Drosophila melanogaster: one gene and its partners. The protein of the gene in region 1 binds, or shares a complex with, the protein of each later gene. Each region holds a gene or a part of one and is shown in the gene's direction. Other genes may lie near its edges. The genes, in order: Tim17a1, ttm2 and ttm50.

Region 1 (3,666 bases):
ACTGATTTATCTGGCCGAGAAGTACGATAAAGATGGCTCCCTTTATCCCAAGGATCCCCAGCAGAGAGCCGTGATCAATCAGCGCCTGTTTTTCGATCTGAGTACTCTGTACCAGAGCTACGTGTACTACTACTATCCCCAGTTGTTCGAGGATGTGAAGAAGCCAGCTGATCCCGATAACCTCAAGAAGATCGATGATGCTTTCGCTATGTTCAATACTCTGTTGAAGGGTCAGCAGTACGCCGCCCTCAACAAGTTGACTCTGGCCGATTTTGCGCTTCTGGCCACCGTTTCCACTTTTGAAATATCGGAATATGATTTTGGTAAATATCCGGAAGTGGTTAGGTGGTACGACAATGCCAAGAAAGTGATACCCGGCTGGGAGGAGAACTGGGAGGGCTGCGAGTACTACAAGAAATTGTATCTGGGTGCGATTTTGAACAAACAATGACGGGTCTGTAATAAATAATCTAATCTGTATCGACCTGTTTGAATAAAGAGTGAGACATTGTGAAATGACAATGAGTATAATAAACGAAGAGTTGTTGGCTTTTGTACAGCGATAAGGCAGAGGATCCTCTGCTCCAAACATTCTGATAGCGATAAGATATTGCTACGTGTCGGTTTGCTGAAATGCCACCTGCCGTGATTTTAGCGATAGCCAAAACAATTAAATTCAAATGGTAATTTTGGACAAACACCTGTACTAATTCATGATTTACGTAAAGTTTAGTTCAACGGGAAGCTAAACGAAATGAAATTGGTAATACAGCTGCACTCTGCTCTTCCAGAAGTTTCTCTTGTGTCCAGTGCTAGCCCAAAAATTGCTGACTATTATCACCTATACCTAATTGATCCATCAGCCCCGAAACATTCTACGAGTATTTTTTGTGGTTATCTTCTATTTCTTATAAAACACGACTAAACCGCAGAGAATTTTTCAGTCGTTTGTCGCGTTTTGACTCCAGCAGAGCAGCCGAGTATATTTGATTACCACGTAGGTATGTATACTTTTGTTGTTTTTGATGAATTTATTATAGAGATTGCGTAACCAGGTTCAGCGAACGAAATGAGAAAGTGATTAGCTGTTCGTTTTTTTTTTTATTCAGTTTCCAGAGATCCCTTCAGAAAGTGAGATAGCGTAAGATGGATTTATACTATAGACCCGGATCTGCTCCCTGCCGCTCTGTTCTGATGACAGCCAAGGCACTGGGTGTGGAGTTCGATAAGAAGACCATTATCAACACCCGAGCTAGGGAGCAATTCACGCCGGAATACCTGAAAATCAATCCGCAGCACACGATCCCCACGCTGCACGACCATGGATTTGCTTTGTGGGAGTCGCGGGCGATTATGGTTTATCTGGTGGAGAAGTACGGCAAGGACGACAAGCTCTTCCCCAAGGATGTGCAAAAGCAGGCGTTGATCAATCAGCGCCTGTACTTCGACATGGGTACGCTGTATAAGAGCTTCTCCGAGTACTATTATCCGCAGATTTTCCTAAAGAAGCCCGCCAATGAGGAGAACTACAAGAAGATCGAAGTGGCCTTCGAATTCCTAAACACATTCCTGGAGGGGCAGACCTACAGCGCTGGAGGGGATTATAGCTTGGCGGATATTGCCTTTCTGGCCACCGTTTCCACTTTCGATGTGGCTGGCTTCGATTTCAAGCGGTATGCCAATGTGGCACGTTGGTACGAGAATGCCAAGAAACTGACTCCCGGTTGGGAGGAAAACTGGGCTGGTTGCCAGGAGTTCCGCAAATACTTCGATAACTGAATATATGAACCCGAAATACTGATAAAACACCTATTATTCGGTTATCAAGAAAAAACTATATATTTAAAGATTAAGACTGGGCTGGATTTCGATAGACATTTCAATAGTTAAATAAAAAAAATTCACTTTTAAAGTTTAATCCGTTTTTTGAAATACAAATTTAATATCATAAAATTGTAAACATCTAGAAAGGACGCAAACGTCAGCATCCCAAACACTTCGTATTATGTTTACTCAAAAGTCTATTTCCAAAACACAAGTTTTTGATTTGAAGCCACTTGAAGAATATTAGTATACCCAAAGGTTTTGATATAGTAAGTCAAGGCCATGGAGTACAATCGCCAGCCGTGTCCCATTAGGATTGTGGAGGATTGCGGATGTGCCTTCATGATGGGCACCATCGGTGGTTCGCTGTTCGAGTTCCTCAAGGGTTTCCGTAACGCTCCTACCGGATTGCAGCGCAGACTTTATGGTGGCATTGATTTGGTGAAGATGAGAACGCCGTCCATTGCCGGCAGCTTTGCCGTTTGGGGTGCCACTTTCAGCACAGTGGATTGCGCCCTGGTCCACTATCGCCAGAGGGAGGATGCCTGGAACTCGATACTCAGTGGAGCGGCCACTGGTGGGATATTGGCAGCCCGTAATGGCATTCGGGCCATGGCCAACAGTGCTCTGGTGGGCTGTCTGGTGCTGGCCATGATTGAAGGAGCCGGTGCAGCAGTGGCCACCATTAATGCAGCCGACAAAGGTGCAGGGATAGTCATCAAGCCGCAGCGGGCCCAGTGGGAGGCCATACTGGAGACTATTGATCCGAAGAGAGCGTCATCCACTCAAGATTTCGCACTGGCGGAGTTTGAACGGGTGCTGGACAAATGTCGGGCGAGCAGGGAACCAAATTTACTTCAGGACATTCCGGTTAAGAGTCACGAGCGAGATTCCAAACAGAAGCCATTTTATTCCCTCTTGGATCTGGTGAAACTGTCCCAGATGTTCTAGTGTTGCCCAAAAAAAAAGGGTTTTCATTTTCATTCAATCTTTCGTTCTCAACAATCACTCATCAAAATTGTGTGCATGTACTAGTTTTCACCGTTCATTTCATGATCGTAATATACAAAACGCATAAGATACTAAAGCTTATCTACTATCAAAATCATAGCATACTTCTTGGCGTCAGAATTTCAAGTTCGAAACACTTTATTTTGTGGCTTTATTTTTTTAAAGGTTGAATAAAACAATGTATGTATGTATTTCCCAATCTATAGATATCCCAGAAAAATCCCACTACTTGAGTAACGGATATCTGGTAGTCGGGAAACTCGACTGTAGCATTTTCTCTTGTGTTATACTTCAAATGGCTCAGCTTGAAACAGAACTTTTTTTTGGTTTTTATAATTCAAATTTGTACAATTATTTCATCGTATGGAAAACAAAACTCGGAACAGATTTATATTCATATCTGCAGCGCTGAACAATATCATACAATTTGAAAGAGGGTTCTTAGGATCTGTAGATTTAATAAAAAGCATTTATTAATATCTAACCTCTACCCTGGAAAAGAGGTATTTATGATTCTATCATAATATCCTTAAATAAATCAATTTAAACGTTCAATGCTATATCAAATTAACAAAAAAATAAATAATGCCGTTGTCCACTTATCAAAATCGTTTCGAATCTTTTATTATAATTAAAGAAAATCATAAATTAATACAAAATTAAGAATTAAACTAGTTGATGAGACAGAACAGAGCGCAGAGAATTGGAAGGTGGTTACCAGGATAGGGTTCATAAGTAAGTATATCATGCAGCAATTTGGCCAGAAAACTTTGCATTCAAAGACAATCGGAGATTAGACATATAGTTGACATCGATCATCGTTCCCGCTGC
Region 2 (3,736 bases), on another chromosome or scaffold:
TAACCACGGCTCTGCACCTAGTTTTGGTGGTATTGGCGCACAATCCGCTATCAACTCGTGGCGAAAGCCTTTCTGATGGCATACGTCTGGTCATGGAAAAGAGGTCGGGCGATGTGGTACACATTCGTCCAGCTCGGGGCACACTGGAGGCCGAAACAGTCGCATCCACAACAAATAGTGACACCCACCGCACCAGGAACAATCGTAAGCCGAACAAGCCTCAAGAGCACTCTCAGCAGGTTGGGGCCCACAAGTCGGGATCTAGAAAACTAGTGGTTGCGGAAAATGGCGGGGCACTGTCATCACAACTACCACAACCAAATCACAAGCAAGGCCACAAGAACACTGATAAGCAACAACGAGGAGGGGGATCCAAGCAGCAGCGAGGACATAGCCAACATCATGGAGGAAATAGGAAAGGGCCTAAGGCAGCGACTCCAGAGAATGGTAAGCCTTAGGACTGCCACGTCAGAATTCAAATAGTTTTTAAATGCAAAGTCTTATATTTGCTTGTTAACAGGATCGACTTGCCGATACGCAAAGAGCGCTTGGTCCAATTGTGATCACAAGACCAACATGCGTTCACGAGTCCTGTCCCTAAGGAAAGGAGAGCAAAACTGCTTGCCCACGCGGACCATACAAAAGAAGTGCAAGAAAGGTGCGCGCGGTAACTTCTATATGTATCATAATCCTACACAGCGCCTCCCCAAAAGGGGAACGTAGTAGAATCGGGCATTCCCATAAAAGAGCAAGGCGGTGTCATTGCCGGCTTAATGGGTCCAAAGGTCACAAAATGCAAAAATCACTCTTGTTGACCCATATACAAGAATGCTTCCTTCTGGGGAGGATTGTGCTCTCTTCGACCCACTTCGAGGTTCTCCCCGCCACAGCTTCGTTTCGTTTCCTAGGAAATACTGCAGTTCCTGTTCCTAACAATGCAGCGAGTGCATCCTTCATAATAGCAAATACTTTCCAAAATTAATTTGAAATTTTGCGTACTTCCTTCGGTAGGCTGCCGCTATGAAAAGGGTGAATGGTCTCAATGCGTCGGAGGACAAATAACCAGAGAGGATAAGTTGGAACCAGAGGCAACTGGCGGTAGTGATCAAAACTGCAATCCTGTGCGTACCGTCAGCAAGAAGTGTAAAGCAAATGGCAATTCCAGTGGAGGAAAACAACACGGCCAGAGTCGTCGAACAAAAGAGCAAAAGCAAAAGGATAAGGGTAAAAGTGGTGAATTTGACCCCTTTGTGAAAAGTTTGATCCAAATTCTCTGTTTACAGGAGCCAGTCACATTTCGTCTTGATAATGAAAATTATTTATTTTATACGTATACGGAAGCAACATTTTTAATATTAAATAAGCGATTTTTAAATGCTAGCCCGTACGGACTACTTGAACAACAATAAAGAATTGGCCTTCTTAGGGCTAAATGAAAGCACTCTTTTAGAAATTCTTGAAACAAGGCTTTCACAAACCCCAATACCGCGAAAACCTGCACAAAATGAGACCTGTTATTGAGTAATCAAAGAGCATTGATAGAACTGTTAGTTGGCTCTGAGTTTTTATTTAATATTAGACGCGACAGTAAAATAACCGTCTGCGACAAAATTTAATTAACATTACACAAAAGAAAACGTTACCTCTAACTCGGCTTGGTAATATAAAGATGTTAAATTTAATAGTGTTTCTTTACTTAACTGCAAGCCCCCTTTAAATTGATCGATCTTTCGAGGCAAATCTTCAAGTTACCAATGTCTTTAATAGCCATTGAAAGGGTGTTATGTGGCTGGCCCAAGATTTGCCGCAAACTTATTGTAACGTCGCGGTCGCTGACCTCCGGCTTGCGGCGGGCACTGGTCAAGCAGCCCCGTAAAGGCGGAGATGTTGGAAAACCCGGAATGGAGCTTGGGCGCTGTTCGTGCTTTGGACTCCGTGTGAACCTCAGCAATGCATCCGTCGTATACGTTGGCCACCGACGCTACTCGACGTACGAGAAGACGTCTACGCAAATTTTAACGAAGCTCTTTCCACAAACCTCTGAGGAGTCCAACGACGAGGAAAGTCGTGAGCGGCGGAAACTTGAGGAGGAGGAGGAGCAGAAGGAATTGGAGCGGGCATTTAGGCGGATGAAACTGGGCTTTGGGCTTTTCGGCATAGGTAGCATGTTGTTCTCGTTTTGGGCTATATATTTCTATGGAAGGCCGTCCTTGGATGAGCACGGAAATGAAGTAATCGACGAATTTAGTTGTCTGCCACAGATGCAGCAGCTTATGTGGCGGACATGGAAGTCGGTGAACCGCTTTCAACGGTTTTTCAAAGAGCCGTCGAGAAAAAAGCTGCTTCCTGATCCCCTTCAGCCCCCCTACGTGCAGCCGCCGTATACTTTGGTACTTGAGATTAAGGATGTGCTGGTACATCCCGATTGGACCTACGAAACAGGATGGCGCTTCAAGAAGCGCCCTGGCGTTGACGTGTTTTTGAAAGAATGTGCCAAGTATTTTGAGATTGTTGTTTACACGGCGGAGCAAGGAGTTACTGTGTTCCCGCTGGTCGACGCGCTTGATCCGAACGGCTGTATTATGTATCGCCTGGTTCGCGACTCTACGCACTTTGATGGAGGGCACCACGTGAAGAACCTTGACAACCTCAACCGAGACCTAAAGCGAGTGGTTGTCGTGGACTGGGATAGAAATTCCACCAAGTTTCACCCTTCGAATTCATTCTCGATCCCGCGGTGGTCTGGAAACGACAATGACACTACCCTCTTTGAACTCACGTCGTTTCTTAGTGTTCTAGGAACGAGTGAGATCGACGATGTCCGAGAAGTGCTGCAATACTACAATCAGTTTAGTGACTCGTTATCCCAGTTCAGAGAAAACCAGCGAAAGCTGGGTGAGCTAATGCACGCCGAGGAGGTAGAAAAAACTAGCAAGTCTAGGCCCGTTGTCAAGAACTGGACCCGTGGCTTCATAAATCATTAAAAAGATTGTGCGTTTGATGTGTCCCTTAAATACTGTTAATTCACCCAAAAAATTACATTAAAACTTTCCTAGCATTCTTCAATGTCTACCTACTAACAGCAGTTACTTTTGCAGTTTTTTGCGTATTCTGATTGAAAAAGTCTGAAAACATATGATTTCTGATTTGGCATTTAAAGCAGACTGCCCTGCGGAACGTCAATGCTTCCTTGAAGGTAACAGTGCAGCCACTAGGCGGATACATAGCCGTAATGTTGTGAAAAATGTTGTGTTACGGTTTTATATGAATGCAGGCTTCCAGAAATCCTCAGTCCAGCACGAGCACGCAAGCTCAGCAACATGTTGCTGCCATGTGATGGTGTGCGTGAGCACGTGCCAAAATAACTACGACACATGTGTACTCTTGAGGGAATGTTTCCACAATCAACAACTACGCACTTCACACCACTAGGTGAGTCATGCGCAGTATCGTCCCTGCGAACATTCATCCGAATGTTGGCATAAGTAAGTAAAGGGATCAGGTGTACTGTAAGCCTTCCGTCTAGTTACTTTCGATGCAGATTTTGATTCTGGCTGAGGGTTCGTGGCTGGCTGGGCCTCTTCTCCTTATGTTGAAAACACACAACAATTCGGTGGTGGAAGTATACTGCGGACGTCAAACTGGCGAGCCAGGGCGCAGGCGTTGGTTCATTTGGCACTTTGTCTGGTACTCTCCCACATCGGCATCCTGCAATCTCTTTGGCTCAGCATCCTTG
Region 3 (3,752 bases), on another chromosome or scaffold:
TTGAACTAAAACTAAATGTCCCGATTTGTACATTAAGCCGATAGTATAAGCGATCTAGCTTCAGGTCTCCACATTCTCGTCCTGCTCCTCCAGTTGGACACCCACTTCATGCTCGGCCCGCCTCCGCTGTCTGCCCGCCTTGTGCGACTGGCGATGGATGGCGAGTGAGATGCGGCGCTTGAAGGACTTGCCGCACTGCTCACAGCCGAACGGTCGCTCGCTGCTGTGGACGAGCATGTGGCGGTTGAGCTCGGATGTGCTGCCGAAGCTGCGCTTCTGGCACACCGGGCACGGGTGGGGCTTCTCCTGGCTGTGGCAGCGCTTGTGGGCAATCAGATTGCTCGAGTAGCGGAAGCGACGGCCGCAAATGTCGCAGCCGTGCGGCTTCTCGCCCGTGTGGGTGAGCATGTGCTTCTTGTAGCCCGACTTCTGTGTTAGCCTCTTGCCGCAGATGCTGCACTCGAATGGCTTGATTCCGCTGTGGATTAGAAGGTGTGTGCGCAGCGAGGACGCCTGCCGGTAGACCTTGAAGCAGGTGGGGCACCTGTTCGGATTGTTACGATCGTGCAGCGTGACATGGCCGTCGCGGGCGTTTCGCGTCTTAAAGGACTCTCCGCAGATTGTGCAAACGTAGGGCGTGGCCGTGCCATGTAGCTGCATATGGTACTTGAAGGAGTTGTTGGTGCTTAGTTGCTTGCCACAGATCTAAAGGAATGGAGGGAGAATTGATGACCTTCGGCTTTGAGTTATTTGCGAGCTGCGATGACCAACTTACTTTACACTGTAGGGAGGGATTGAGGGGTTTCCAAGGCCGGCTTCCACTGGGCAAAGTTTTCTGCGTCGCCGAAGTCTGTGCTGATTTCTCCACAATCTCGTAGACATCTTCGCCAGCTTTGGCCTGCAAAACGGGCTCCACTTGGAGGCACTCTTCAATGCAGTGGTCGTTGTCTTCTTGGCGAATTTTTGGCTGGCCATGTAGCCTCATGTGGTACTGAAAGGTCCGCTTCCTAGCCAGTTGTTTGCCGCAAATCTGCCGAAGATGGGAAACTATTTCGTGATTACTTACTTCTAATTCGGAAAGGCAACTCACGGGACATTGCAGCGCTGGCTCGGATCTTTCTAACCTGCTCCTACGTTGCTCCGGATCCGGATCGTCGACAATCTCGCAGAGATCGTCTTCGTGCTGTTCCAGTGCAATATCCAGCCTCTCCTCCTGTACAATTGGCGCTTCCAGCCGGCTCTCCGCCTCATCTGATTCTACGACCAGGAGTTGCTCCTCATCTCGTATCGTTTCTGCTGGATATTCAGTCACTTCCTGGTCATCGAGCACGAGTACAAAATCCTCCGGAATCTCGGTTGACAGCCTGGCCCTAGTATTCACCGCGCTGATCTTTTTGCTGCGGCAAAAGTCCGCATGACTCTGCCGCAGAATTCTGTCCATGCGATGGACACTCCGCTTGAATTCCAGCGAGAGCCGCAACTTGGCCACGCAGTCCGGGCAGATGTGGTGGGGCAGGAAGAGCTCCGCCTCTAGGATCTCCAGACCGCTGCAGTAGCTTAAAATGCTGGCCAGCGTCGCTGGTTTGCCGGAAATTGGATCGTCGAGCGGTTTGAAGAGCGGCAGGCAGCGCGGCGATGCTGTGTGGCACACGCGGCACAAGGCGTCCATGGGGGACGGCGGCGACATGGTCGTCATGGATTGAACTCGACAGTAGATAATACACGTTTAAATAAATAACTTAATTTAGCGTCCCGAACAGTGATGCCAAAGTCCAGCTGATGCGTTAGTGGTGGCACTCAAAATAGCTAGCCAGGCACATCAGCTTGGAAGTGACCAGAGGCACAGTGGCTTGGTGGTTGGTCAAAGGTTGTGTATTTCCATATTATTTAAAATATTTTAATTTAAAATTTTCTTAATACTGTGATTAGTCAGATTGCCGGAGGCAACATATGTACACACGCAGTTATCTGCAAAATCCCGCCAGATTTGGCTTGAAAATCGCCGATCTATACCTGCTGAGAGCCACGTGCTAAATGTACTAACGCCTGGTGCCGCCTGGCAGTGGACAGTATATAAAATCCCTAACGCCAACGCCGTGCCGGTGGGAAGTTGAAATTTTTGTTGGAATTTTTTATAAGTAAAAAGTCGCTGCCATCCGAGCAGGACTCGTGAACGGCTCTAGGACTCGATATCGGGAAGGAAGGGGGAAGCATGAGCATGAGCATGGCACCGGCCACCGTCCTCCAGTTGCTGCGCGGCCTTAGCACGCCGCGTCTTCTTACCCACATCCACCAGCACCGCGCATTGGGTAATCACTACCACCACTACCACCAACACTACCAGCACCAGCACCACCTCCTCCACCACCAGCAGCAGTACCTCCGACTATTCACTTGCACAGCACTGCCAGCGGCTGCTCCGGCGCTCTTCTCGATCCTGCACACAGCGCGTGGCTACAGCAGCACAACCAGTAAGTGATTCACGGTAGAGTCCTAAACAGTAGAGTCCTAAACATTCATCCTTGGCCACTTTCGTTTCGCAGAGCAGGAAGCTGGAGCCACTGGCCCCAATGATGCGCCCGAGGTCGCACCGAATGCCCCGCTGCTGGCCAAGCTCTTTCCTCAGACCTCGCCGGAGGTGGACAGCAACGCCGAGCAGGAGCGCAAGAAGCGCGAGGAGGAGGAGGAAAAGGAGAACGAGCGTGCCTGGAAGCGCATGAAGCTGGGGTAAGCTGACGCCCATTCAATGCGTAACAGTATTATAACAATACTTCCTGCTGCAGCTTTGCAATATTCGGAGGCAGCGCCGTGGCTGCTGGATTCTGGGCCGTCTACGAGTTCGGCAAGCCCGAGGTGGACCCCAACGGGCAGCCCATCGAGGACGAGTTCACACACAAGCCGCTGGTACAGCAGTATCTGCAGCGGATGTGGAAGAGCATTCACTACTATCAGCGCATGATCCAGGAGCCGTCGCGCGCCAAACTGCTGCCCGATCCGCTCAAGCCGCCGTACGTGCAGCCGCGCTACACGCTTGTGCTGGAGATGAAGGACGTGCTGGTGCATCCGGACTGGACTTACCAAACTGGCTGGCGCTTCAAGAAGCGTCCCGGCGTCGACCACTTTCTGGCCGAGTGCGCCAAGGACTTTGAAATTGTCGTCTTCACCGCCGAACAGGGCATGACCGTGTTCCCCATCCTGGATGCCCTCGATCCCAACGGCTACATTATGTACCGCCTGGTCAGGGATGCCACGCACTTTGTGGACGGCCATCATGTGAAGAACCTGGACAACCTTAATCGCGACCTCAAGAAGGCAAGTCATGCACAACGTATTTTCTATTGCAATCATCTATAAAGAAGGGAGTATTTTAGGTGATTGTTGTGGACTGGGATGCGAATGCCACCAAGATGCATCCGGACAACACATTCGGCTTGGCCCGCTGGCATGGCAACGACGATGATGGCCAACTGCTGGACCTTATCGCTTTCCTAAAGAGTAAGTTGCGCCACAAGTGACATTGAAAGCTAAACACTGACCCTTGCAATTCGCTACAGTAATTGCGCAGAACAACGTGGACGACGTGCGCGAGGTGCTCCACTACTATCGCCAGTTCGACGATCCCATCAACCAGTTCCGGGAGAACCAGCGCAAGCTGGCCGAACAAATGCTGGAGGCGGAACGCATCGAGCAGTCCAAGACCAAGCCAATGGTCAAACAGTGGTCGCGCAACATTCTCGGCCGCTAGGAGGCTG

Evidence for each region.
Region 2: Tim17a1 (region 1) and ttm2 share a complex: the UniProt entries of both Drosophila melanogaster proteins name them as parts of the TIM23 complex.
Region 3: Tim17a1 (region 1) and ttm50 share a complex: the UniProt entries of both Drosophila melanogaster proteins name them as parts of the TIM23 complex.

What each region holds. Positions count from the first base shown.
Region 1 is NT_033777.3:12,363,026-12,366,691, reverse strand, and holds Tim17a1 (Tim17a1), read left to right. Parts: upstream 1-2,011; 5' UTR 2,012-2,106; coding exon 2,107-2,775; 3' UTR 2,776-3,025; downstream 3,026-3,666. Other genes in the region: GstD9 (glutathione S transferase D9), read left to right, coding at 1-451; GstD10 (glutathione S transferase D10), read left to right, coding at 1,147-1,779. UniProt on the Drosophila melanogaster protein: Essential component of the TIM23 complex, a complex that mediates the translocation of transit peptide-containing proteins across the mitochondrial inner membrane.
Region 2 is NT_037436.4:273,584-277,319, forward strand, and holds ttm2 (tiny tim 2), read left to right. Parts: upstream 1-1,571; 5' UTR 1,572-1,754; coding exon 1,755-2,984; 3' UTR 2,985-3,084; downstream 3,085-3,736. Other genes in the region: miple2 (midkine and pleiotrophin 2), read left to right, coding at 1-447, 521-667, 1,012-1,224, 1,284-1,306. UniProt on the Drosophila melanogaster protein: Essential component of the TIM23 complex, a complex that mediates the translocation of transit peptide-containing proteins across the mitochondrial inner membrane.
Region 3 is NC_004354.4:2,730,509-2,734,260, reverse strand, and holds the start of ttm50 (tiny tim 50), read left to right. Parts: upstream 1-2,070; 5' UTR 2,071-2,212; coding exon 2,213-2,471; intron 2,472-2,543; coding exon 2,544-2,727; intron 2,728-2,783; coding exon 2,784-3,312; intron 3,313-3,371; coding exon 3,372-3,495; intron 3,496-3,554; coding exon 3,555-3,745; 3' UTR 3,746-3,752. Other genes in the region: CG2712 (uncharacterized protein), read right to left, coding at 61-705, 776-1,030, 1,091-1,696. UniProt on the Drosophila melanogaster protein: Essential component of the TIM23 complex, a complex that mediates the translocation of transit peptide-containing proteins across the mitochondrial inner membrane.